4 linked regions of the Saccharomyces cerevisiae S288C genome follow. The protein of the gene in region 1 binds, or shares a complex with, the protein of each later gene. Each region holds a gene or a part of one and is shown on either strand. Other genes may lie near its edges. A codon is read from its position in the direction of its gene.

What was found.
Region 2: RAD3 (region 1) and TFB4 share a complex: the UniProt entries of both Saccharomyces cerevisiae proteins name them as parts of the 7-subunit TFIIH core complex.
Region 3: the proteins of RAD3 (region 1) and TFB1 are in contact, whole or in part, in a cryo-EM structure (PDB 7K01), measured with the Saccharomyces cerevisiae proteins. Residues at the interface, in NP_011098.3 of Saccharomyces cerevisiae: Thr75 (codon at 1,824), Met76 (codon at 1,827), Ser77 (codon at 1,830), Glu80 (codon at 1,839), Lys81 (codon at 1,842), Thr109 (codon at 1,926), Ser110 (codon at 1,929), Lys112 (codon at 1,935), Asn113 (codon at 1,938), Arg124 (codon at 1,971), Gly126 (codon at 1,977), Thr127 (codon at 1,980), Phe178 (codon at 2,133), Leu182 (codon at 2,145), Ser209 (codon at 2,226), His211 (codon at 2,232), Tyr212 (codon at 2,235), Asp215 (codon at 2,244), Lys217 (codon at 2,250), Ile218 (codon at 2,253), Glu246 (codon at 2,337), Ser249 (codon at 2,346), Leu250 (codon at 2,349), Asp251 (codon at 2,352), Glu308 (codon at 2,523), Lys400 (codon at 2,799), Asp401 (codon at 2,802), Glu426 (codon at 2,877), Arg436 (codon at 2,907), Tyr544 (codon at 3,231); in NP_010597.3 of Saccharomyces cerevisiae: Tyr231 (codon at 3,853), Asn232 (codon at 3,850), Pro239 (codon at 3,829), Val240 (codon at 3,826), Leu296 (codon at 3,658), Arg297 (codon at 3,655), Leu329 (codon at 3,559), Leu330 (codon at 3,556), His331 (codon at 3,553), Val333 (codon at 3,547), Lys335 (codon at 3,541), Ile336 (codon at 3,538), Ile337 (codon at 3,535), Asp338 (codon at 3,532), Leu339 (codon at 3,529), Asp340 (codon at 3,526), Gly341 (codon at 3,523), Asn342 (codon at 3,520), Ile343 (codon at 3,517), Asp345 (codon at 3,511), Asp346 (codon at 3,508), Pro347 (codon at 3,505), Val348 (codon at 3,502), Val349 (codon at 3,499), Arg350 (codon at 3,496), Gly351 (codon at 3,493), Asn352 (codon at 3,490), Pro354 (codon at 3,484), Asp355 (codon at 3,481), Gly370 (codon at 3,436).
Region 4: RAD3 (region 1) and TFB2 share a complex: the UniProt entries of both Saccharomyces cerevisiae proteins name them as parts of the 7-subunit TFIIH core complex.

Annotation. Positions count from the first base shown.
Region 1 is NC_001137.3:525,481-533,876, forward strand, and holds RAD3 (TFIIH/NER complex ATP-dependent 5'-3' DNA helicase subunit RAD3), read left to right. Parts: upstream 1-1,601; coding exon 1,602-3,938; downstream 3,939-8,396. Other genes in the region: RPH1 (Rph1p), read left to right, coding at 1-279; adenylate kinase ADK2, read left to right, coding at 494-1,171; ATP-dependent RNA helicase BRR2, read right to left, coding at 4,050-8,396. UniProt on the Saccharomyces cerevisiae protein: ATP-dependent 5'-3' DNA helicase.
Region 2 is NC_001148.4:669,136-674,909, reverse strand, and holds TFB4 (TFIIH/NER complex subunit TFB4), read right to left. Parts: upstream 3,785-5,774; coding exon 2,768-3,784; downstream 1-2,767. Other genes in the region: chorismate mutase ARO7, read left to right, coding at 1-49; YMC1 (organic acid transporter), read right to left, coding at 236-1,159; BRR1 (Brr1p), read right to left, coding at 1,414-2,439; exocyst subunit SEC8, read right to left, coding at 4,037-5,774. UniProt on the Saccharomyces cerevisiae protein: Component of the general transcription and DNA repair factor IIH (TFIIH) core complex, which is involved in general and transcription-coupled nucleotide excision repair (NER) of damaged DNA and, when complexed to TFIIK, in RNA transcription by RNA polymerase II.
Region 3 is NC_001136.10:1,081,424-1,089,607, reverse strand, and holds TFB1 (TFIIH/NER complex subunit TFB1), read right to left. Parts: upstream 4,544-8,184; coding exon 2,615-4,543; downstream 1-2,614. Other genes in the region: PIB1 (phosphatidylinositol-3-phosphate-binding ubiquitin-protein ligase), read left to right, coding at 1-389; SSF2 (rRNA-binding ribosome biosynthesis protein), read right to left, coding at 666-2,027; SUM1 (Sum1p), read left to right, coding at 5,292-8,184. UniProt on the Saccharomyces cerevisiae protein: Component of the general transcription and DNA repair factor IIH (TFIIH) core complex, which is involved in general and transcription-coupled nucleotide excision repair (NER) of damaged DNA and, when complexed to TFIIK, in RNA transcription by RNA polymerase II.
Region 4 is NC_001148.4:317,799-322,318, forward strand, and holds TFB2 (TFIIH/NER complex subunit TFB2), read right to left. Parts: upstream 2,970-4,520; coding exon 1,428-2,969; downstream 1-1,427. Other genes in the region: RNY1 (ribonuclease T2), read right to left, coding at 1-1,147; MEI5 (Mei5p), read right to left, coding at 3,164-3,832; VPS30 (beclin 1), read left to right, coding at 4,273-4,520. UniProt on the Saccharomyces cerevisiae protein: Component of the general transcription and DNA repair factor IIH (TFIIH) core complex, which is involved in general and transcription-coupled nucleotide excision repair (NER) of damaged DNA and, when complexed to TFIIK, in RNA transcription by RNA polymerase II.

The sequences.
Region 1 (8,396 bases):
AAGAACAAGATTTATATTTGTAAGGAATGCCAAAGAAAGTTCTCTTCTGGTCACCATCTTACAAGACACAAAAAATCCGTCCACTCTGGTGAGAAACCTCATTCTTGTCCCAAATGTGGCAAAAGATTTAAAAGGAGAGATCACGTTCTGCAGCACTTGAATAAGAAAATACCGTGTATTTCAAACGAAACAACAGTAGATGCTCCAATAATGAACCCTACAGTGCAACCGCAGGACGGGAAAGCGGCCATTAATCAACAGAGTACACCTTTAAACTGACTCACGATTGCCAGTTGTTTACCGAGATCTCTCATTTTGAAGGCTCTTAAAATGTGCTCGGTCGGCCGGGAATTCGCGAAAACCCACATTCACTAATAAATACCATTACAATAACCATCATTATATAGATACACATGTGTAGAAAAGGATAATATACGTATATATATTTGTTTGTAAATCTTTAAATTTTCAGGAACAGGGTTAGCAAGCATCAATGAAAGCAGACGCGAAACAAATAACACATCTACTCAAACCTCTTCGACTTTTATTATTGGGGGCTCCAGGGTCAGGTAAAGGGACACAGACTTCGAGATTACTAAAGCAAATTCCACAATTATCTTCAATTTCGTCAGGCGACATTTTACGTCAGGAAATAAAATCTGAATCTACCCTAGGCCGAGAGGCTACTACCTACATTGCTCAAGGCAAGTTATTACCGGATGATCTCATAACGCGTCTGATAACTTTTCGTCTTTCGGCATTGGGTTGGTTAAAACCATCTGCCATGTGGTTGCTCGATGGATTTCCTCGAACTACTGCGCAAGCTTCTGCCTTAGACGAGCTGCTGAAACAGCATGACGCCAGCTTGAATCTAGTGGTAGAGCTAGATGTACCCGAATCCACCATATTAGAAAGGATCGAGAACAGATATGTTCACGTTCCTAGTGGGAGAGTGTATAACTTACAATATAATCCTCCCAAAGTGCCAGGATTAGACGATATCACCGGAGAACCATTGACCAAGAGGCTTGATGACACAGCGGAAGTGTTTAAAAAAAGGCTAGAAGAGTACAAGAAAACAAATGAGCCTTTAAAAGATTATTACAAAAAAAGTGGGATTTTTGGTACCGTCTCTGGGGAAACATCAGATATTATCTTCCGAAATTATTGAACCTTATAACCAGCAAATTCGGCTAATAGGGTGATTTAACGCTACACTAACTGCAAGTATATGTTAACCTTCCCCGAGACTTTGAAAAACCGTGACTCTAGTTGGAAGTCAGCATCTCGTCAACCAAATGATTACAGTTCACTTTGAATATTCTGAATAGCCTTTATGATATGAGTTAATCCTATATTAATCATGGCCGACGGCATTTAAGCGATGTATATGAAATTTATGAAAAATTAAAGTAGCGTACTTTATGCTACATAGCTTTTGAAAAGAAATCTCTGGTCTGTAAATAATAAATAAATATATATATATGTATATCTTAAAGTTGACAAAGTACTGTTAGCCATTCATAGAAATACTATATTTCATCTTGGGTTGAAGGTGATAATCGGCCCGATTTGACTACACTTTAAGAAGATTGGAAACAATGAAGTTTTATATAGATGATTTACCAGTGCTTTTTCCATACCCCAAGATATATCCAGAGCAGTATAATTATATGTGCGATATTAAAAAGACTCTGGATGTAGGTGGAAATAGTATCTTGGAGATGCCTTCAGGAACAGGTAAAACGGTCTCATTACTATCCCTCACAATTGCCTACCAGATGCACTACCCAGAACATAGAAAGATCATATATTGTTCTCGTACTATGTCTGAAATTGAAAAAGCTTTAGTAGAGTTAGAGAACCTTATGGATTACAGAACTAAAGAACTAGGCTATCAAGAGGATTTTCGAGGTCTTGGCTTGACATCAAGAAAAAATTTGTGTTTGCATCCCGAAGTGAGTAAGGAACGAAAAGGTACAGTAGTCGATGAAAAGTGCCGTAGAATGACAAATGGGCAGGCGAAGAGAAAATTAGAAGAGGATCCAGAGGCAAATGTAGAATTGTGTGAATACCATGAGAATTTGTACAATATTGAAGTAGAGGATTATCTTCCAAAAGGCGTATTTTCTTTTGAAAAACTTTTGAAATACTGCGAAGAAAAAACACTTTGTCCATATTTTATTGTTCGTCGTATGATTTCTCTTTGTAACATTATTATTTATTCTTACCATTATCTATTAGATCCTAAAATTGCTGAAAGAGTTTCCAACGAGGTTTCTAAAGATAGCATTGTCATTTTTGATGAAGCGCACAATATTGATAATGTGTGTATCGAATCGCTGTCATTAGACTTGACAACGGATGCATTGAGAAGAGCCACACGAGGTGCTAATGCGTTAGATGAACGTATTTCTGAGGTCAGAAAGGTTGACTCACAGAAATTACAGGATGAATACGAAAAACTAGTTCAAGGTCTCCATTCTGCAGATATTCTTACCGACCAGGAAGAGCCATTTGTGGAAACACCTGTATTGCCCCAAGATCTTCTAACAGAAGCAATCCCGGGAAATATACGAAGAGCCGAGCATTTTGTTTCATTTTTGAAAAGATTGATAGAATATCTGAAGACCAGAATGAAAGTTCTTCACGTTATTTCAGAAACGCCAAAATCATTTCTACAGCATTTAAAACAGTTAACTTTCATAGAAAGGAAACCTCTTCGGTTTTGCTCAGAAAGGCTATCATTACTTGTAAGAACTTTAGAAGTTACAGAGGTAGAAGATTTTACTGCATTGAAAGACATAGCAACTTTTGCTACTCTTATATCAACATATGAGGAAGGGTTTTTACTAATTATTGAACCGTATGAAATCGAAAATGCTGCAGTTCCGAATCCGATTATGAGATTTACTTGCTTAGATGCATCGATTGCCATCAAACCAGTCTTTGAGAGATTTTCTTCCGTTATTATCACTTCAGGGACCATATCACCATTAGACATGTATCCAAGAATGTTAAACTTTAAAACTGTTTTACAAAAATCATATGCCATGACCTTAGCCAAAAAATCATTTCTACCAATGATTATTACCAAGGGTTCTGATCAAGTTGCAATTTCTTCAAGATTTGAAATCAGAAACGATCCTAGTATTGTTCGTAATTACGGTTCTATGCTAGTAGAGTTTGCCAAGATCACACCTGATGGAATGGTTGTTTTTTTCCCCTCATATCTATATATGGAAAGTATTGTTTCAATGTGGCAAACAATGGGTATTCTTGACGAAGTTTGGAAACATAAATTAATTTTAGTTGAGACTCCTGATGCTCAAGAAACTTCTTTAGCCTTAGAAACCTATAGAAAGGCTTGCTCAAATGGGCGTGGGGCAATTTTGCTTTCTGTTGCTAGAGGAAAGGTATCTGAAGGTATCGATTTTGATCATCAATATGGCAGAACTGTGCTGATGATAGGTATCCCGTTTCAATACACAGAATCGCGTATTTTGAAAGCTCGCCTAGAATTCATGAGGGAGAACTATCGCATCAGAGAAAACGACTTCTTATCTTTCGATGCGATGAGACATGCAGCTCAATGTCTGGGGAGAGTACTGAGAGGGAAGGACGACTATGGTGTAATGGTACTAGCAGACCGTAGGTTTTCAAGAAAAAGAAGCCAGTTACCAAAATGGATTGCTCAAGGTTTGTCTGACGCCGATTTGAACCTTTCGACTGACATGGCCATATCCAATACCAAACAATTCTTGAGAACAATGGCACAACCCACAGACCCTAAAGACCAAGAGGGTGTATCTGTTTGGAGTTATGAAGATTTAATAAAGCACCAGAATAGCAGAAAAGATCAAGGTGGATTTATTGAAAACGAAAACAAAGAAGGAGAACAGGATGAAGATGAAGATGAAGATATAGAAATGCAGTGATGCAATGATACGCTTTTGCTATAAACTGTATATATCACAATTAGATTAAATAGCCGCAAGAGAATGTTATATATTGAAATCCATTCGATTATCCAGGACTAAACAATGATTTTATTTCACATTTATTTCAAAGGACAACTCTTTATCTGCGTCAAGATATGAATCACAGACACACCAAATTGTTAAGTTATGTTTACCAGATGTCGGAGTGTCAAATTCCAATTCATATTGCTGAGTCTCTTTATTTAAAGTAACTTTCTTGATCGCATAAAGCTCTTTTTTAGATACTTCACCTAAAACCAACCACCAACTTTCTAGCTTATCAAACGGATACTTTTCAGATGTTACTTGTAAGTTCTCAGGTTCAACATCTCTTGTCAATTGAATGGTAATTTTCTGTTTTACACCTGAAATTAACGAATCAGAATTATTCAACGAATAAGTAAGTTCAACGTTGGGGTAATTGTTAACAAACGCGGCGACCTGCGCAAGCTGTGAATCAGTAAGCGTTAAAATTTCATCCCTCTCTTCATCCTCAAGGGCCATTATATCATAGACCGTCTCGACGTTAATTTCTTTACATTTTTCCAAAATTTTGTTGTTGAAGTGTGGAATCTGTCTCAACGGATTATCAACGTCCCATACACCCTGAATCAACATCTGCGCCAAATCCATGGCGGTAGTAGCATTCAAATACCCGTTTGCTGAAAGGATATCAACCACTACGTTAATTAGTGGAACAACCTTTTCTAGAATGTCTTTTAAATCATTTTGAAAGTCGACAGGTAATTCAAGACGTGAAAAATATGCTTGTAACAATAAGAAAACTTTAAAGCTCACCGAACCAGAAGAGGTGTGTTCAGGGAATCTCAATGGTAGTCTTTTACTTAATTTGACAAGTAATGCTCTGTCTCCTTTTCTGAGTGGAACACTTTCGAATTCTACTGCTGTTGAAAGAACATACAGCATGTTTTTGAGCGTTGACGTATTCGATAAAGAAGAAACGAATGACTGAATAGTAAAAAATGATACGCCATAGTGAGAAGCAATTAGCCCGTTGCTCAAGGTAGAAATGATTTCAGTTGCTTCATCATCTCCTCCATTAACTTCTGCGGTTACTTCAGCTTCTGTATCGTCAATTTCAATGAAGGATGATTCAACTAAGTCATTCAAACAAGTTTCAACTAAATTACTCAAAAAAACTGAAATTCCATGTGGAGACGTATCCCTTACGCCATAATAGCTTGGATTCACATGGATACGACGATAGAAATACGAATATGTAAACCAGTCAACACAATCTTGTTTGCTTTGTATAATAGAATTTGCTATCTCGTTGTTCAGAGTATCATGAATAATATACTGTAGGTAACTCTCAGTAGGCAAAGGCTCAATTAAGAATTTTTTGTAGTAGGCCTTCATGTTGTGACTTGTCAAAATTAAAACCTTGCCTGCCATTGAATCGTTACCACTAGCTAGTCCCACCATTTCTAGAAGTTCATTTATGGTATATGGCATATATTTATGCTCTGCACCATCATAAAGGTTGGTTCCTAAAATAATCACTTCATCAGTTTTACAAGCGAATGCAGAACAATCCTTAGAAATGAGTAAAACCGATACCGCACCATATTCGTATAACCTTTTCACAATTCTTTCATCATTTGATGCCATCCCCTTATACAAAATACCAACACCGTGTTTTAAAGGTGCTCTTAGATGACCATCTGTTAACTTTTCAATGTATGGTACAATTTGCTCTTCTTCAACGTTCAACATATCCCATTCAATTGCTTTTGAAAACTTCATAAATGCAGACGCAACTTCCATACAATCCTTTCTAGATGGTAAGAACACCGAACTGGAATTACGATTTCCCGCTGCAGCAGCAGATGCTTCAAATGCCATTTGAAGCATCGAAAAATTGAATGATATGTGCTCAACATCTTTAAATGACTGAATATTAATTTCAAGAGGCTCAATTCTTTCGCTTGGAGAAAAGTTGTAGATGTTTGACTTCGTCATACCAGCCCATTCACCAAAATCACGAGCATTTGCCAAACAGTTCGAAAGGCAAACAAATCGAATTTTCTTTTCAAGTTGGGTTGCTATAAATATCATTCTAGAAATTAGCGTTTCATACACAGCACCGTAAACACCTTGGCTAATCTCATGAGCGTCATCATATATCATTAATTCTAAACTTTGGATGTTCTTCCTTTGTCTCCAACGACGTGACAAAAGCTCAAATTGCACGGGGGTAGCCAAGAGAACATGGCTTTTTGCTAATAATTTTAAATTTAGTGAAGGATCATTTCCTAGCTTATTTATTATCTTACCACCAGCAAGATGAGAGAACCTTTTATTCCAATCAGATAGCAAAAAATCAATTTTTTCCCCAGACGGATTGATATAAACCGCTCTTCCTTTATTCTGTCTCCAATGATTTAACAGTGCTAATTCAGCCATAGCTGTTTTACCTGTGCCCTTTCCTGAACCTACAAAGACCGAGTCATTCGAATTGTAGAGAGACTCGAAGACCTGGCTCTGAATCTTGTTGAAAGTTTTAAATTCAAATACTTCGGAAAAATCATCATTGCCAAGCTCTGATGTTGAAATACTAATATTCTCCAGAAGGGGAGTAGGAGGAGGAAATTTTTTCGGAAGTTTAAATCCATTGAAGGAAACTGGAATCTCGAATTCACTGTGCCACCAATTTTCTGATATCAAAGTAAGGAAGAAATTAGGTGGTAAGTTATTTTGATTGTGCTGCTTTAACTCATAAGTAAAGGATAAGGTAAATTCATGACCAACTATATCTGGAGTGATGAATAGTACGTCATAATAAAGTATTGAATCACCATCAGTGTCTTCTAGCATGAGCAAAAAAGGTTCAAGGGAACCGTGTACATTCATATCCCATATCCAGTCGGCTATTATTTCAATGTTGAACCTCATAACGCTACGGGTAATTGGCTGAGCGTTGCATGTTACGGACATTTTGGGAAATCTTTTCAATAAATCGTAAACCTGTTTTCCATATTTTTCAGATCTGATTGCACGACCAACTTCGGCAGGTGTTTCTAGCTGTAGATAATCTCCCCACGGTACTGTAGAGGCTTCCAGCCTTTTAATCACTTCGACAGGGCATGTTTTAAACTGTCTTAAAGGACAGTTTGTTGGCCACATTTTAGTTGTGGCAGATTTGCAAAGATTTAACAACATCCGTGTGGGATGTCCCCATCCTCTCTTCAAGCATATTTCAAACATAGCACGCAATAACCTACCAGCATTTTGGTGAATAAACACTATATCAGAATTAAGTGCAAAACCTTCGAACTTTAGCTGGGAAAAATAAGACTGCAGTAGTACATTCACTTTTGCTAAAGGATCATCAATATCTTCTCTGATAGGAATGGGTGCTTTCTCTAGAAGTTGTTTTAGTTCTCTTTTCTCTTCATATCTCACCGATACGTACTTAAACTCTTCCGACATTGAGAATATTCTAAAAAGATCAATCTGAGTTGTATGTTCATCTAACTCTCTATTGTAAACATCCATGGAAGCATGATTTATGTAAAATGACGACGCTATATTTCCTAGATCGGTCGCCTCAATTACATCATTTTCAGCATCATATAACACCAACTCTTGTTCTTTTAAAATGCATAGGGCCGAATGGACTAAGCTTTCTCTAAACTTTTTCAATTGCCCATCACTTGAAATATCAGGTACTTTGTAAAGCATAGGGGAAGCTAACATTCTGACATATAGGTAAGTATACGCCAACCAATTCACAGCATCATTCCTGCACTTAATGTTACCCGCGACAACTTCTGCATTTAAGTTGTCAACTAATTTTGAAACAAATTGCGATTCTATTGGTAATTGTTGATTTAAAACCGAGAGATAATATTGAACATTCGATTGGTCTGTTATTATAATACCCTCGCCAAATGTGTCATATCTCGGTCTGCCTGCTCTACCTAACATTTGAAGTACATCTTGTGGAGAAAGTTGTTCCCAGGACCCCTTTTCAGGTGAATAGACATCTGTTCCTTTTATAATCACTGTATGAGCAGGTAGATTAACACCCCATGCTAACGTCGCAGTGCATACCAATACTTGCAACAACCCGTCTGCAAATAAATCTTCAGATAAGGATCTGTCACTTCTGGTCAGCCCTGCGTGATGCGTCCCTATACCGCTTTCAATCAACTTTCGTAGACTTGGATCGAGTACGTTGGCTGCTTCTGTCTTTAAAATCTGCTTCGATCCTGCATCATTTTTGGTTAATTTATGAGTAATGTTCTCTTCAGCAAATTTATTTTTCAACCATGTTGCTGTTCGTGATGTTTCTTTTCGAGAATGAACAAACACGATTATTTGATTACCTTCATTGATGGATTCCAATACCTTTTCATAACAAGCATCATTCATAGCCTTCAGCTTTTTCAA
Region 2 (5,774 bases), on another chromosome or scaffold:
CACTAAGGAAGTTGAGGTGGAATACTTGCTAAGAAGGTTGGAAGAGTAAGCATGAAGGCTATCACGGTAACAATTCCACATTGCCGAGTGATTACTACGCATATATAAACACACACACTCACCATATATATGTACGCATAGTAGCATCTATTGAATATAAGAAGATAGAGTTTCAAGTTATACATTATATTGTACTATTTTCTTAAACGATGGCTCATAAATTCTATAGGAATTATCAACCCAATAACCTCATCGCTAATTCAAAAGTAGCAAAAGTGGCACCATTGGCGGGAGCAGCTCTTAGCATGGTAGGACCAAACCCTTTGAAAAAAGCGCCTATCCCTCCATTGGCATATAAAGTCTTGGCTACACTGGAAATAGAATTACCAAATTTAGGCTTTTGTAAATTATCCGTTTGCATGACAGACTTGATGACATCTAATGGATATACCATCAACCATAAGGCAGTGCCAGACAATGCTCCAAAAATACAAAGTTTCCATGCAGGAATGTCCTTTCTCTCTAGTCCACGTCTTTTGTTCATTTGGTTAGCAATCAACGCTTCATACACTAAGAAATATGTGCCACATCCATGACCTTCTCTCAATATTGTAGGTGTTAAACCACGTAGCAAGGCCTTGTTATGTCTTAATTTTTTGATGCATTCCAAAGGACCCTTGAATTCTGCGTTGGTGCCTGAGCCAGTCTGTGTTTGCAAGCGAATCCTGACATGCTCAATTGGGGACGCCAAGAATGAGTTTACTATACCGCCTGTGACACCACATGCGTAATACTGTGGCAATGACAAAGTCGATGACATATCAGCATTGCGATGATGAAAAAATCTCTTCATAGCTTCATTAACACCAAATTGTAATGAAACACATGCACCAACACCAATTAATGGCGTCAGAGTTCCTTTGTAAAACCCGCGAGGCCCTTCATTGGCAAGCAGCTTTCTGACGACTTCCATGGCTGTTGTTGGGGTGCTCGATGTTTGTAACCTAACTTTTGTCGTATCAAAGGGCTGGCCCACTAGCACTTGCGCAATACCACCCGCTGTACCTGCAAGCAAATCTTTCACGACTCGAGCATTATCATGCTGTGGATGTTCTTCCAAATCATCGATTAGTTGAGGAGATGGAAATTCTTCAGACATACTTCTTCGTGATGCGAATTTGATTGACGAGAAACCTAAACAAGAGAGCTGCGTTGGAGTATAGATGATAGTTGTTATTAGCTTATTGACATTGATTGATGCTATAGCATGGCTACATCATCGCTGACAATTTGCGCTCGAGTTTTCTTAGGGCGCCGCTTATCTTCGGCCTATCAGTAAATGTAAGAATGAGTCAATCAAAGTAATAACACTTTTTACTTCCTGTAAAAAACTACATAAGAAATTTATTTACATTATTCTATCAAGTCTTTTTGACCATAGTTCACTGCTATAACAGACACTGTCAGCTCAGTTATCGTCATATTCTCCACCGCGGCTGGTATCTCAACATTCAATTCCGCCATCTCCTTCGGGAGTGTTATTTTATTCTCATGTGCTTCAACTGGCTTCTTTTGAATCAGTTCAAGGCATTTCTTTCCAAGATCTCTCAAGATGCTTGTATATTCTGCCGTGACTCTTTCGGGTGTATGTACCAGTATGTAGAATAGCCAATCTTGCAGCCGACGATAATGCCTTCCTTTCTTGTGTATTTCTTTTATCCATGTATTCGACATATACTTGATCAGAACCCAAAGTTGCTTAGAGGTAATCTTTTCATGAAAAGTAGTATGCTGCGGTTCATTGTTTATAAGGTATTGGAACCACTGGTTGTATCCAACTAGTTCATGTTTATCTCCTTCAGTGATTACTTTTTTTACATCCTCAACACTGTCAATCTTGGTTTTTTCCAGCCGTACCAAAATATTCTTCGCCCATTCCTCATCAATCTGAAGATTTTCTTCCTTCTCTTCTGCCTTCTCAGGAAAGGAATGCTGATTTAGGACACTTATAATTTTTTCAACTGTAGTACATTTGCTGGGCATATCTTCGAGATAATTCTTTAAGAAAAGCAATAAAAGATCCAGTGTTTCGTCCTCATAACCGGTAAACTCGTAGGCATTAGTCAACACCGTCGCCTTCACAGAGTTAAACCACCTTACCCATATTTCTACATTCCTTTGAAGCCTAATCAAGGATGGCGAGATGGCGTGCCTTTTAAGGGCCCCCTCATCCTCATCATCGTACATGCTTGATTTGTGACGCGTCCTCTTTTGCAGATTCATATGATTCTTAATCGATATGGCGTTGGTTCTTAGTGCTTCTTGCCTAACACTTTTAAGATATTCAATGACATCAGGATTCACTGAAGAATCAGATAGTGCAAATGCACGAGATTGACCAAAGATGGCATCAGGCGCCTGGCTTTCTCCTCTTTTCATTGTTTATCACCTAATGTTTCTGTTATGATGGATGTTGGCAATGTTATTGTATGATACATTATCCAAAGCGAACTAATAAATCTACCGAAGCAACAACAGCGATGCACCCAGACAGTACATAGATAGTTATATTATCAAATTCGATATGATTGAAGTCAAAACAGTTCAAAGATGACACAACGTCTTAAGCTAATCACATCAAAAGCTTTTTTTTTTCTGTGGAATGTCCAATATACATGTGCTTAAAGCTAATTTTTTTTTATGTATTATTACGATGCATTGTGACGAAGGTTACCTGCTTGAAACGGATAATGTTCATTCCTTTCGTTCATGGTTTCGTCACCTTCTTTTTGGCTTTCAACCTTGGAACAACTGGTTTCCTCTTCAACTTGGCAATTACGTGCTCATCAAATTGAGAATCACAAGCAGGACATTTATTTCCGGGCGGTATGATTGATAAGACACATAGGCAAACTGAACAGATGAATCCAACGGCAACAACTCTCCCTGTTAAATAGCATGATGTCCTAAAATCTACAGATCCATGGTTTGGCTTAACAATTATAGGTCTTAACGACGGATCAATAAACATTGCAGTTGCTAAATATTGAATTAGCCCTTCTGTAGATTCAACATGTAAATAAACGCCATTTGTGGCATCCGTCGTTTGCTGTAAAAACGTGCTTTCCTTAGAACCACCAATCTTTACGACATCAATGGGACATTTCATTTTTGTTGCGGAAAAAATACAGTTCATTATAGGGATGTATTGGAAAATTTCATCTTTACTACTGCCACTCCCGCACGTAAGAACAAGTAGCCTTGATTTTAATGAGGTAGTTACTGACTCTTTTGATATTCTGTTTACATAAGTCAGCCCAGCTGACATGGCACCTGCTAGCGTGCTCCTTTGACTATTTTGTTCGATTTGTTTCTTTTCTAACTCAAATAGTTTATATATTTCTTCCACTAGCGTCTCATCAACGTTTCTAAAACGTCTATACATATCTGAGTTAATAATCTTAAGATCACTACGGGTTTTATTTTCAGATTCAGAGGCTTTTAGAGCAGATGTGCTCTCTGGGTATAAATATTTGATTCCCTGAGAGTATGCAGCAATGACTGCTACTTTGTTGGCGCTATTGAACGCTAAGTGAGCATTGAGAAATACTATCAATGCCTCTAAAACCTTTATTATACTTCCTTTCTCATTTCCTTCCTCATCAAAAGTTGTCCATAACTTTGGTGCAATTTCTATAATAACGGTAAGCAAAGATGGTGATTCTTCAGTAACCTGTTTTCTTGATCTAGCATGCTTAAACGTTGGATCAGATATTGCATCCATTTCTGATTGCTTCGCTTCAGTATATTTTATTGGATCGTGTATATTTCTACTCAAGTGTTGATTGATGTTGTAATGTTCCTTCAGGTATCTTTGAATTTCAACAGAACAAGACGAGCTGCGCGCTGAAAATAAAATAAAAGTGCAAGTGAAAAATATTGTAAAAATAAGGTAATTAAAAATATAGTTATTCGCTTATTATTGATCATTTTCATTCATTTATTTATCAAATTAATTTTACACAAACTAAAAATGTCATTTTTCGTTTGCAGTATGGACAGCATTCAATTTGCTTTTAAGTTTTCCAATCTTGGTGCGGGCTCCTTCTTTCGACTGCTCTTTTTCGAGGTTACTTAGTTTCTCCAAAGCTTCAGTGTACCTCTTATTGGAAGGTTTTATGGAACCCTTAGTTGAGCTAGTGCTTTGTCTCTTCAATTGACGATGCATTTCCTCGCTAAACTGCAGCCTCAATATGGTTTTCAAATCTTCGACAGAACAATGCGGTAATTCATTGTCTTTTATATATTCAAATAGTTCAGCTTCACTGGAGCCGCATAAAGAGTAAAAATTCATTGTGACGTTCATATTAATTTTTGATGGTTCAGAAGAAAGATTTCTATAGGCATGTTGTAAGACATTTACATTTCTCAACATTTTCTTTATCCCGTTATGGTTCAAAACTTTTATGGATTTGGCACCCTTAATCAAGGCGTAGTTGTTGACTATATCAAGACCAATAAATATGGAGTTTTTTTCCTTTTCTGGTAACTGTTGTTTCAATTTGCTTTCAGTCCTTCTTAATTCGGAAATTAGAGAAGCTATATTTTGATCTAATTCAATACTACCCACATCCATATTCCAAATTTTGGTGTTTTGAAAAAAAGACCCGATGTCGTATATACACAAGGCCCTAATGTTGAACCTCAGTATAGTGATTAGTTTGAATTTCAAGGTTTTGAATCCGTCGATAGTCTCATCAAATTTTTTGGAGGCTTTATCATCCAATAAAATTTTTAGATTTCCTAATGAATTTGGGCTGGAACTAGGGTTCGAATAGTTTAAATCCATTGATTCAGAAAATGTCCAGCTGCTCCTTAATCTATCAGCATCTAACATGGGTTCTTGGCTTACTTCATCAATATTGATAGCCTTTTTTAAGCCTGGCAGCCAGTTTAATATCCATAACACGCTTGCCGAAAACTGCAGAATTGTGTCCAATGTCAAGTTATTGAATAAATCAGATTTGCTCAAACCTTTACCCGCTTGATAGAAATGAGGTATTTCCTTAAATAACTCTATGGATTCTTCATGAAAGAGTGTCTCATCCCCATTCAGAATTTTTTGTTCTTGATCCATCAAAATACCATTCTGCAACCATGCCGTAATTATTTTCCTAGTTAAATGTCTATCAGAAGTACCAATCAAGGAATTAAATAGCCCCAAGTAGTAATTATAAAAATGATTCAAAAGATCTAGAATGCAGTACGATATTTTTTCTCTAAATGTGTTTGCTGTGTTGAAAACATTCAATAAATTGTAAAATAACCTTTGAAAATCTAATGCTGTTTTAAAAATGTTATGATTTTCATCGGATAGCTCTAAGGCGTACGGATTATTGGATTCTACTTCAACCGTGAATAAATAATCCATAGTCATCTGAATCTTTGGGAGAAAACTTTTATTCATATAATCATCGAAAAAGGTTAGGGATGAAATAGTATTTTGTGTTAAGACACTGGGAACAATTGTAGATGTCGATTGCGTAAACAGCAAAAACGGATCTAAAATTACCTTCATGTTGAAAACAGAAGGAGGGACTAGAGGCTCATCTTGTTCGAAGGATTCATCTTTTACATAAATAGAGTCTAAATCCATGTTTGAGGAGACAGAAAATCCAGGGAATATATCTTTCAACAAAGCCTTTAGTTCAAAAGCTTGATCCTTTACAGAAGAATTGTCCTCAATGTTATACTCCAAAGAAAAAATTTTAGGA
Region 3 (8,184 bases), on another chromosome or scaffold:
ACTCAGATCTCACACAGTTTCCTGATGAAGAAGAGACCAGAAAGCACGTAGAGGATTGCATACAGAGAGCTGAAAATGCCCAACAACATACGAATACGTCAGATGCAGCAGATGACTCCGTAAAAGAAAGCCCTGCCTTTCAAAATAGAATGTTAGTGTACAAGATATCGCCTAATACAACAGATAATGCAATTAAGGAGTGCCCGATTTGTTTTGAGAATATGGAACCCGGTGAGAAAGTTGGGAGACTAGAATGCTTGTGTGTTTTCCATTATAAGTGTATTAAGAACTGGTTTCACAAAAGGGCGCAAATGACTGCAGCCCAGAAGGGAAATGGACATGCTTTTGTTAAAAGGAACTTTTGTCCTTTCCATGATGCCGTATTTTAACGATAACTCCCAATTTGCTTTTCATTACAAAGTTTAATTTTTCAGCTGTTAATAATCGAAGTTTTAACTTCCCTTTTCTTTTATTTTTTTCTTTAATTGTAAAAGATTTCTATATATTTGTTTAATTATGATCTTATATATTCATTAATATTTACTTTGAGGTGTTCCCTCACCTATGAATAAACAGACACTTCCTGGTTCTTTAAGTCCATCGGAGTCATGGCTACTATATGGATAGTGATGTTACGTACGGAGGATATATATACATATCGTGCATTATTCTACTTCACTGAATAAGTCACTATCCAAATCCTCTGGTACATCACTATAATGCTCATCTTCACTCGATGAAGATCCATCATCGCTCATTGCACCATCTTTCCCTTGACCTTCACCCTGTTCTTCTGCTCTAGCTTTTCTTCTTTCCAATTTACGTTGCTTTTTAGCATCTTTAACAGCCTTTTTTTTAGCAATGTTTTCTTCTTGTTCCTTTCTTCTTTGTTCCTTCAGCCTCATTTTTGCAGCGTGTCTCTTTTCTAAGGCTTTGATTTCTTCGCTTGATTTTTGAACAAATTCATGATGTAATACTTTACCTGAACAAATACCATCTTCTATTTTGACCAGTTTTAGAGTTAATCTTGGTCCTAATTCAGTCAGTTTGATAGCCTTCTTACGTGGAGTTGGTTGCGAATTTTCTGAAGGCTTAGGTTCCTCCATTTCCACATCTTCTTCTTCAATTCCTTTTTCACGTTCTTCGTTATCTGTCATTTTAACGGGTGTTTTTTGCGACAGCGAAGTTTGAGAATGTTTTGCCTTCACGTCCTGATTATCAACCACTCTCACAATAGCGTCATCTTCAATTTCAGATTCTGATGTATAGGCGCCTAAGTCATGATCTAATATCAAAGAAGAAATATCTTCTTTTCGATGCAAATTCGGCACTGTTTTACTTAGATTATTTTTGGCTTTATAAAGCCTTTTTAGATTTCTAGAGATCTCTACTTCTCGAATGTCAATAAAATAGTGGCGCATAGAAATTTCCCCCGTTTCTCTGTCTTTATTGATCATAAATATACGTTTGATAGAATTCAACGAAGTTCTTGCAGGATTCAGAGGTGGGAAAATATTCTGGAACATGGAAACAATAACCTTCTCCACGTTTACATCCTGATCGTCTTCATCAGATCTTTTCGATGTGGAAAACCCATTTAACACTAGCAATGGAGGATTTAATACATCATCATTATTTAACGATTTAGGTCTCTTCAAAAATTTTTTGATATCTCTACCCAGTGAATAGTCCAATACTTGAAAAGTAACAGTAGGACCTTGTGGAGTTCTAGCTATCTTTAGCGAGACATTTCCTGTTTTTTCAGATTGAGTGAACATGAAAAGATGCGTAACACCTAATGGGCCACACATAACAACAAAATCCTTCAGTTTATTGGACTTGCGCTCTTTTAGTTTTACGGCCGTATGCGGTTGCATGATCTGGCGAAAATCCTTTACTAATTGGTTTAGAGAATGGTTAGCCAATGAAGTTTGTCCCACTCTGATTACCATGGATTTAGGAATATCTCGTTCCTGCTCGGGTGTGATCTGCGCATGCGTTCTCTTTTTCTGCCTTCTTTTAGCCATTAGTTCCAAAATATCTAAGGTATGTGCGGGATGGTGACCTAGCAGCTGCAATTTAGTCGAATATTAGCTAGACTAGTTTATTTTGCCTATTTAATATCATTCATACAAGCCCGTCGATGAGATGCATCTACACTAAAAAATTGCAAAATCGTCCAAGATGATAGATAATGACTGAACTAACAGTCTGGAGTATTGCAAGTGCTTAGGTCTGTTTGGCAAAATTTTTGAAAATATTACTGAACCATTAGCAAGCTGTAATAGAACTAAAGCACCATTACTGATTTATTTTGACGAATCGTTTGCTAATTTTCAGCCACATCACATGCTGAAATATTTCCCGTTTGTTTCTTGTTTGTTTCACAAGCCATTCGCGCGCGTTTTCACGTTAAATGTTTTATTTACACGCACGGCTGCATCAGTGCAGCACAGCGTTAATCGAGTCCCGCGTTTTTCTATTGTTTACATAGAGACTAAAGACCAAAAAGGAAGAATACACACAATTAAGTTTTATGTAATATGTAACATGCAGTAAATAGATGAAAAATATGAATGTAAAAAGTGGTAACAACTGGAGAGCCTTTATATTTCTAGTTCGAATTGTTGTTATATTCGTTGAAGTACTCATCGTACTTATGAGTAGCCAAAGTAATGGAGTTCAAAACTGGCTTCAAATAGGCGGTACATGTGTTTGACATAGATTCACCATCACCATTAAGGACGTCTTGAAATAGCTCATTCAGCTTTTCAATACAGTCCTTCAAATGATTATAAAGTTTTTTGACGGTACTGGCTTGCTTTTGTTCACCGCTCTGAAAATGAATATAAAAGTGCTTTAGAAATTCACAGCACGTTGTGTGTAGCATTCTACAACTTTCTAATAGGTCTATTGGTAGGGTACTTTTCACCTCTAATTCATTTGCTTGAGAAGTGTTGTCGACAAAAGAGCCGAGTGCTGAATTAACATTGTTATGCTTAGCCTGTTTGGCGTTAATCTTGATTGCAGTTATGACTCTTTTATTGATCTTGTTGCTGACTTCGTTGTTAGGAACTACTTGGTTCAAGTCTAGCTTATTAATTAAATTATCCATGACCAATGACAACTGTTGTAACATTTGTTGATTAGAAACCTTCAAATCTGCATTCTTTATCGAGTCTGCCGAGCTTTTCGCATCGTTGTCGGTTGTCTTTTCATGTGCGTTCCTTTTCAGATGTATGATTGCATAGTTTGTCTTGTAGCTTTCGTTTAAGTCATCGATTTTCAGTTCATTTCTTTCATCATTATCTTCATCTTCCTCATCGTTTGTAATATTAGATTTGTTCTGTAGATTTGTCCTTGAATACTCATTCTTCAAAGCCATAATCATTTTTTCACTCAATCTATTCATACCCTTTAAGATGTCCACGGTACCATCGCTATTACCATTAATATCCACACCTGGCTGCATAGTGAAGTCGGGCCTGTTGCCTCGTACAACTGGGTCGTCCTGTATGTTACCATCTAAATCTATAATTTTTTTCACAGGATGCAATAGCATGTCATCATCTTTTCTGTCGAACTCTTGATCCAATGTCAAGTACCTGTCAATGATTACGTCACCTCTATCATTTTGCATGATCTTTTCACCCCTTAATTTTCTGAATAACTTCGAAGAGAAGAACCTTGCCCAGAACTCTGGTTCTTTGAAATTTTTGGGCACATTATCAGTGTAAGCTTTCTTTACAATTGGATAGTTCTCAAAAATATTCAAAATTTTTTCTCTTGACAAATTAACATTGACTTTGTTTTCCGATGAAGCCACCGGCTTGATAGTTGACAAAACGTTGTAAGGCCCAACTTTTTGAGAAGTAGATAAGGCAAAAGCCCTCAATAACGGAATTCTAGTTGACCAAAATTCAGATGGAGGCAAACCGGCGTTAATGACTGTTTCCTGAAAAACCTTCATTAGAACTTTGTTTCCTTTCAGTAAAGATTGCTGTAGCTTTAAATTGGTCAACAATTTTTCTTTAGAGAGAGAATCATCTAGTTTGGCTGTATTAATCAACGGAGCCCCATTATTCAATTGTGGTGTATCGAGATGTGGTGTGGGAGTCCCTGCAGTAACAGAAGAAGAGCTCATTGGTGTTTCTGTGTGTTGCGCAGACTCCTCTCTTCTTCTCTTTTCTTCGTAGATATCTGCATCTTTATACCGTGAGATGATTTGTTGAAGGGTCATCTTGATATTATCCATAACTGTTCTATTGTTAAACGAAAACATATGACGTTGCGGTTTGGGCACAACCTCATTTCCTTCGTTGTCTTTTCTCTTTTTTGACTCATCCACTTTCCCGATTAGCCTCAACATCATTTTTTCACTGGAAGCAGGGGTAGCTTGTAACTTGTCAATAGTGGATAAGACAACTGTGTGAACCTTGTCACCGTCCGTAGACCTCCATGTCAATTCTGCGGGTGAAACATCCTCATTTATGGCAATTATCCCAGAAACTTTCTCAAAAATGGCAGCTCCGGAATGTGACATTATGGTTTACTTTTATTTTTTCCCTACCCCTACCCTAGGTTAAATATTATTACTTTCACTGGGAAAGCTTATTATGCTAAATTTCAGTATTGTCTAAAAATTGCGTCAAAAACGAGCAGCCTTATCATGTCCCACGGGTTGTGGCTTTTCTAGTTTACTGTCGAATCATACTATCATTTTTAAAGATTGGTTTCCATTTTCGTTAGACCGATATCCATTACTTACACTCCTTTCATATCTTTCCCACGTGGCCTTAACTACGTTTACTAATACTTACTATGTAAGTCACAATTTCCATTAATTTGCGTCGTTCAACAAGATAAATTGCTGTAATTATATGACTGCGACGCGACGGCGACGTCAAATTTTTTTTTTTTTTCCTGAATGGAAAAGGGAAAGGACAACAAATGATGGCAAAATATTTCAGTTTGGATTCACAAGTTCTCCACTTGCATCCGCTATAGATAGCCACACTTGTTTCATTCAGCGCTTGTGATACCACGATTGTATCATTACTAGTGGCTTTAATTTTTTTTTTTTTTTCATCTATCCTTTTAATACCATTTGTGTTTGAAATAAACTGCTAAAAGAATTATACACAGGCATATTTTATCAAAAGTGTCAGCAAACAGAGCACAAGGGACTTGTTTAAAGTAGCTAAGTATCATAAAAATTTAGTCGCTAGTGGTATTATTGAGATCAAACGAAAAGTTTCATACATAATTAACAAAATTCGTTTGTTGCGGGGATGTCTGAGAACACCACAGCCCCTTCTGATAACATAACCAATGAACAGAGACTTCCGTCTGGACCCAAAGATGACGTAGATACGTTAGCACTTACCAGTGCTCAAAATCAAGCTAATAGTTTGAGGAAGCTAGATACAGATGCGAACGCTAAAGCTTTGCCATCCATCACAGACATACCAGTCAGTGATGATTCTGATATAAAACGACAAGTTGGCTCTGGTTTTGGTTCAAATCCGCTTCATATAAAAGATTCCGAGGCCTTTCCACATTCATCTATTGAAGCCCTAAAAGAGGGTATGGACAAAGTCACAAAACAATGCAACGATTTGAAGACGGCTTTGCTTTCCAAAGACACTTCCCTCACTGATTCTGTGCAGGATTTGTTTAACTCATTAAAAGTTTTATCACACAACCAATCAGTTTTGGAAAATAAGCTGGATGATGTCATGAAGAATCAAGTAAATACTGACATATTGGTCAATAATTTGAATGAACGATTGAACAAATTATCGACAATGTTGCAAAATACTTCGAAAGTAAATCACTCTAACCTTCTCATAGAAAATTCATCCAACAATACCAGTTCACAGCATAATACCTCTTCTTCTCGAAGGGGACCTGGCAGGCCAAGAAAAGATGCCTCGACCTCCACAATGAATAAGTTAGTGTCAAACGCAGCCTCGGTCAATCTCAAAAGTGCATCCAATCAGGGTGCTCCTTTCTCACCAGTAAATATTACTTTACCGACTGCCGTAGTACAAACGTCTAAATCCAAAAGGTATTTTGTGGAACCATCAACGAAACAAGAGTCGCTTTTATTATCTGCCCCTTCATCATCAAGAGATGATGCTGATATGTCCTTGACTTCCGTACCGCAAAGAACGAACAATGAAAATGGTAAAGAGCGACCATCCACTGCTAATTCTAGCTCCATCACACCAACACCTGTTACGCCGAACAACTTAATTCAAATCAAAAGAAAAAGAGGCAGGCCCCCAAAAAAGAGAACAGTGGAAACAATGATATCCAATTCCACGGATACGATAGATAAGTCAGATGCATCTAATCGGATTAAAAACGAGATTCCAATAAATTCCTTGCTTCCATCTTCCAAATTTCATCAAATACCATCATCTCCATCCAATCCTGTGTCACAACCGGCTCCGGTTCGGACTTCAAGGTCAGCCACACAAGAAATAGACATTAAAAGTTTAGAACTGGCCTCTCTAATTTCAACTAATGGTGATCCAAACGCAGAGGATTCGAATACTACTGATACTGTTCATAATAACGTGGAAGGAAAGGTAAATGTTGAAGAAAATAAAACCGAGAAGGAGAAAATAATAACCATCAAATCATCCAGCGAAAATAGTGGTAATAATACGACCAATAATAATAATACTGACAACGTCATTAAATTTTCAGCTAATTCAGATATCAATAGTGATATTCGCCGATTAATGGTTAACGATCAGTTTTCATTAAGTTATGACGCCAGCGGTAATATTACGGTCAAATTACCACCCGTTTCCTCTCCAGCAGCAGCAACAGCTGCCGCTGCTGCGGCGGTTACGTCAGAGATGAATAGACAACAAAGAGAATTAGATAAAAGACGTGATTCAAGGGAGAAAATGCTTGTTAATATGAAATATAACGATCGCGATAAAGCAAAGTCATTTATGGAGTCTAATAAGAAACTCTTAAAAGCAATGAAAGAAGAAGAGAGGAGGAAAAGAATGACTTCGATAATACATGATAATCACTTGAACTTAAATTTGAATGAGATCTCCACCCGTTCAAAGATAAAAAGTGCAGAAAAACCAACAACTAAAGGTTCTTCAATGTCGCCAAAACCAAGATCGGCCTCCATCAGCGGCATTTCAGACCACCAACAGGAAGGATATCAACCATTAGAGCAAGAAAAACTCGTCGATATTGACAATGAGGGCTCAAACGCAAACAGCGACTCTCTCAAGATGGGTCTAACCATATCCGCTGCCGATACGGTTCACAAAGTTGGAATACAGTCCATGCTAAATTCTGGGGAAGAGGCAATTACCAAGGAGAATGCAGAATATGAAAGAAAGACCCCGGGAGATGAAGAAACTACCACGTTCGTTCCATTAGAAAACTCACAACCTTCGGACACGATAAGGAAAAGAACAGCAGGCGATGACGGTGCATTGGATCAAACAGAGAATACGAGCATATCACCAAAGAAGAGACGCACAGAAGATCATACAAAAGGTGAAGAAGATGAGGGAGAAAGGGGTGTTGGTAATAGCGGAACGCTGGCCACCGTGGAGAATGTCTCAGGAGACATCTCCGCAGATTTATCCAAAGGTACTTCATCTATCCATAACGATACTGAGTCTGCTAACGATAGTAGCAATGGCAACGGAAACCTCGGTTTGGGTACAGAGTCACGCAATACATTGTTAACGGCAACTCCCATTGAATTAATCTGCCGGGAAGGCTTCTTCTACCGGAGAGATATTCCGGACGTTCCCATTACCACAGGAGCGTACCTGGAATTTAAATTCAAGGCGAAAGAAGAGGAATTGATCAACTCTAGCATCAATGAGGAGGATTATGCTGCTAAATCAAAGCATGAAAAAATGAATGCGCATTTCTTCAAGCCTGATATTCAAGAAGAGACGGAACTTGCCTTTGAAATTTTGAGCAAGACAACGCTGACAGAGAAATACGTTAACAGTTTGGAGTACTTCTTGATGGAATTCAGGTGGGAGAATAAACTAGTTGGTCTAGGCTTAAAACTTCGGGAATCCAAAAGAACCTGGCAAAGGAGAAAGGCGTTATTTGCCCTTTTCGAATTTTGGAGAGACCAATCAAGAGACAAAAGAAGATTCCACAACTACACCATCCTGCATG
Region 4 (4,520 bases), on another chromosome or scaffold:
GATCAAAATCGAATTGACCTGCATCCTTAATGTTCCTGAATTTGCAGACCAATTCATTAGATGAAGACGAAATAATGTCACAAAACCCTTGGTTAGTTCTCAAGTAGTAATTCCCATAGGGAGATTTAATCAACTCGTAATTCGCTGGTGTACCTTGACTCATCCAGTGTCCATTCTTGATTAGAAAGCCTTGCATCTGATCTCCATTATTAATATTTGATAGACGAACGACTCCTCTGTATCTTGCTCCCTTATTAGGTCTCCTCCTGAAAGTTGGGACATAACCTTTTGGAAAAAACTTAATACCATCTTTTTTACAATTTGTTCGAATGGCAAGTGAGTCCATGGGCACAAACATTTCGCTCAAAAGGGAACCCTTCAAGTGGTTATAATACCATACTTCGTTTAAGGAATTATGTCTATCACAGCCTATGAAGACTTTTTTTCCTTCAAACTCTTTACTTAGTGCTGCCTCTATCTGCTCCAAAGAATAGGAATTGTCCACACTTGGGACAATATTATTTTTTTCTAGTGTTGAAAATGTGTCCAATTTCTTGAATAGATTATAAGTTATTCTAAAATAATCATAGACCGCTCTTTTTCTGTCAACACTATTAGCACCCCACTCAGTATAGCACTCTGGTCTAATTGTGCTAATGCACGTGCCATGTTTATTAAACTCGTGTATCCATAAGGACTCATGATTCCCGTTATTACTCTTCCAATATAAGTCTAGGTATTCAAGCAGCTTTTCGCCCGATATTTGCAGGGATGTATCATTATTATTAAATTTCTTGTCATGCAATAAGTAGTAAACATCGTCAATTTGTAAGGACCTATTACAGAATTGTTGGTAGCCACCATGACAATTATCTGGCCATAATCCGTGAATTGTAAATGAATCTAGAGGCCCTAACTCCTTCACTAATTCAGTTTCATTTAAATCGTTTTTGCTTGGAAAGTAATTCCAGAATTGGGTTTGTAAAAATATTCCACCTGGATATTCAAAACAACACGAGTTGTCTATATCAGTTTTATTGGAACATGATAATGGAATGTTTATAGGGCAGTTTGGTTCTATACCCTTATCTGCTCCATTCGAAAAAATTGGTAGTTGTAAGAGACTGTGTAAGTTTTTCAGTAACATTGACACAGTACTTTAGTTTGAAATATCTTAAATAGTTGGCCTTGCAATAGGTCGAAAGTTGAAGCGTTAATTATAAATTCGGTAGTTCCCCTACTTTTCGATAGGTTTGCATTTAAGGGATATTTTAGGAAAAGCTTAGATACCGAAATTTTGTTGATAGAGATGCAAAAGAAGAAAGAATGAAAAAGGAAAACAATTACTGCGCAAGAAAGACGCGTGTGTTAGCGCAATTGTTACGTTGAATGCATTGATATGTAGGGGCATATATATGTATATATACTTATTGTTTCTTTTTCAACTTTCTTTTAGCGAAATCAAGTACTTGAGAATTACCTTCCTTTGAGATGAAAAATTTCTTCTTTTTGTCGTCTTTCCACAACAAAACACCGATATCTTGAGCGTACTTACTTAGTAAGTTGTATTCTTGACTAGTCTCAAAATCAGAATATAAGGAACCTTCATATGTAATGACTCTATCTAACTCTAATTGCCATAATCTGATTTGATCTACGACGGTAGGAGGCAAAACTTGTAAAGGCTCCTTACAGTTGGGGTCCAGCTCTAATTTTTTTTCTAGTTTCTCTTCTGCCAACCTTCTCATTTGAGGATGTGCATGTGTCTCCAGATAGGCAATGATTTGGTCGGCAGTGATACCATTGGTCAATGCTCTTCTTATGGATTCCCTTGTTATTTGACCCAATACCATATTCACAAATCTTGCCTTTAAATGAACAAAAAGAGACAAAACAGCAATTTGCAGAGGTGAATTAGAATATGAATAGATTTTGAAATTTGTTTCTACAATCAATGAGCCATCGGGTATATCTTGATTTTTTAGACCTGCTTTGTTCAAATCATCTGATGTAGTGATATCTGTTGTGGATTTCCCGTTGGCGCCGTCTTCATTTACTGACGGCTCTTCTCTATTCTGTCTCAGTACACTATCCATCGCATTGGAGGCAGATCTGATTGTCTTGGTATCGGAAGTCAGCATCAAAGCTAATTTTGTTGGATAAAAAATGCTATCATTTGAATGCTTCTGGAATACCAAACCATAGTCTCGCATATCTTGTAACATAATTCTTTGTGTTTCGCTTAATGCATCGATTTTATAGGCTTTGCCAACTTCCAATGCGCCTAACATGAAAATAAAATGTAAAACATCGACTAAATCCATTTTGGACGTTTCGATCATTTTTAAATATTGCAATAATAATGTCCATAATTGGGAGTTGATTTCTTGTAAAAGAAATTGGAAGCCTTCATTAGTGATTTTGAACTCTCCAGTAGAGTTTACCTCTTCCATTAGTTTACTGTGTTTTAAAAGGTTCAGTACTTTTTCAGATGGGATTTTAGCGAGGGGAGTGCCAACCATGAAATGTAATATTGTTTCCCATTTATTAGCTGAATATTCATCCAACAAGTCCAGGCTAACTACGTTTTCCTCTACAACCACACCGAATGAGTTTTGAACTTCCCCACCCGTTAATGCGTTCCTCAGGCTGATTTTGAATGTTGGGTTTAGGTTGATCATCAAAGTACCAGATGATTTATTTGGTATAAGAAGATGCAAAGACTTCATCGATTTGATTGCATTCTGAAACTGCAATTTACCATTAGAGTTAACCCATTTATCTAAATCCAACAAAGGTACTTCATTTTCGTTGAAAACCATTGCCATGATAAAAAATTTAGCTAGTGGTGGTAAAATTCTATAGATAGCCAGACATGTAGCTGGTGAGGTATAAAGCCTATTTTGAACTTGTTGAGGAATTTCTTCCAAATACTGAGTGACCGAATGCTTCAGGGAATAGTCACTCATTATATTGTTCACTTCTTCCCTTTGATGGTGGCTTTTAATGCTAAGTTACTAGTATTGTATTCTGACGATGAAGTTAGGTTATATGTGAATATATGATGGTGCGTAATTTGCGCTACAACAAAAAAATACATTCGTTTTTTCAGTAATCGCGTACCTAATAGAAATGCAAGATGAATAAACGTTTTACGCATTTTTCATTGTGGAAAGATTAAGCTGTAGTCAAGTTTTAACCTAGTGCATAGTTCAGCCATTCCAAAATCTTTCCCTTCGCTATCATGCAGCACCTTATTCAATTTTTCCAGCTCCGCTATTTTTTTTTTTTCCAACTCTTTCAGCTGTTCATTCATTTGACTCTCCCACTCTTGTTTCTCAACTTCTGAAAGTTGTCTAAAGTCATCACTTTCCTTTATTTCACAGATTTGATCTTCCATACCGTTGTCAATCTGATATTCCAATCTTCTCTTTTTAGCCTCCATTTCTTTTTCTAGAAAATCTTTATAGCCGCCCATTCTATTGATTTTGATTAAAGTGGAATTTAAAATAAAAGACAGTTCCATCTCACAAATTGTCCTCCATTTTTCTATGGATTTTCTGTTCTCAATGATCTTGTTTTCGCTGAGAATTTTACAAGCCTGCTGTAAGTGATTATTTTCTTGCCTGAGAAGAGTAAGTTGTTTCGTTAACTCCCTATTTTTTATCGCAATTTCCTTCTGGTTCGTAGGCTTCTTCAAGTCCTTAATACCGCTTTTACCGACCCGATAGTTATTAGTGTCCTTTTTTGTATAAGAATGGTTGATGCAAGTATTTTCTTCTTCGTTCACCAAAGTTTTGTCCTTGTCTAGCCACTCTTCCTGATTGTGCATTACTATTAGATAACTGTAATTTGGTGCTTTTCCTGGAAAGTATACTTGTGATGTGGAAGTATTTTAAGTTCAAGTTTCTTGTTTTCTTTCCTATTTATGCGGAAGGTACATAGAAGTTTGGGCGGCTAATACTTTTTCCGCGGCTAATCCTATAGTAAAATGATCACTTTCATATAGAAAGTTGGTATATAAAGTGTCAACTAAGAGAGAAATAGTTCGAACCAGGTGTATTTTAAATCAACTATCGGGAAGTATGGACTGGTGGTATAATCGAATTACATAGTCCTTTTACCTTCATTAGTAGTACTTAAGTGTCACCCGCCTGGGGATTTTGCTCTCATAGAAGTAAAAGGGTAGTGCTATGGGAGCACATTAGGTAGTTCAGTTACGTTTTATGGCAGTCACTGTTTTCGCAAAGACTCCCAGACACGGGCATTAAAATGAAGTGCCAAACATGTCACTTACCCCTGCAACTAGACCCATCTTTAGAAGGTCTTAGTTTAACCCAAAGAAATTTGCTACTTTCAAATAATTCAATTATCACTGCAACGAATGAAAATGTCATCAGCAACAAGGGCATCGAAGCCGCAGATAATTGTGGGCCTCAAATACCGAAGGAGAGGCTGAGGCGATTAGGGGAGATTCAGAACATAAAAGACTTGAATTTAAAAGATGATAAATTAATCAC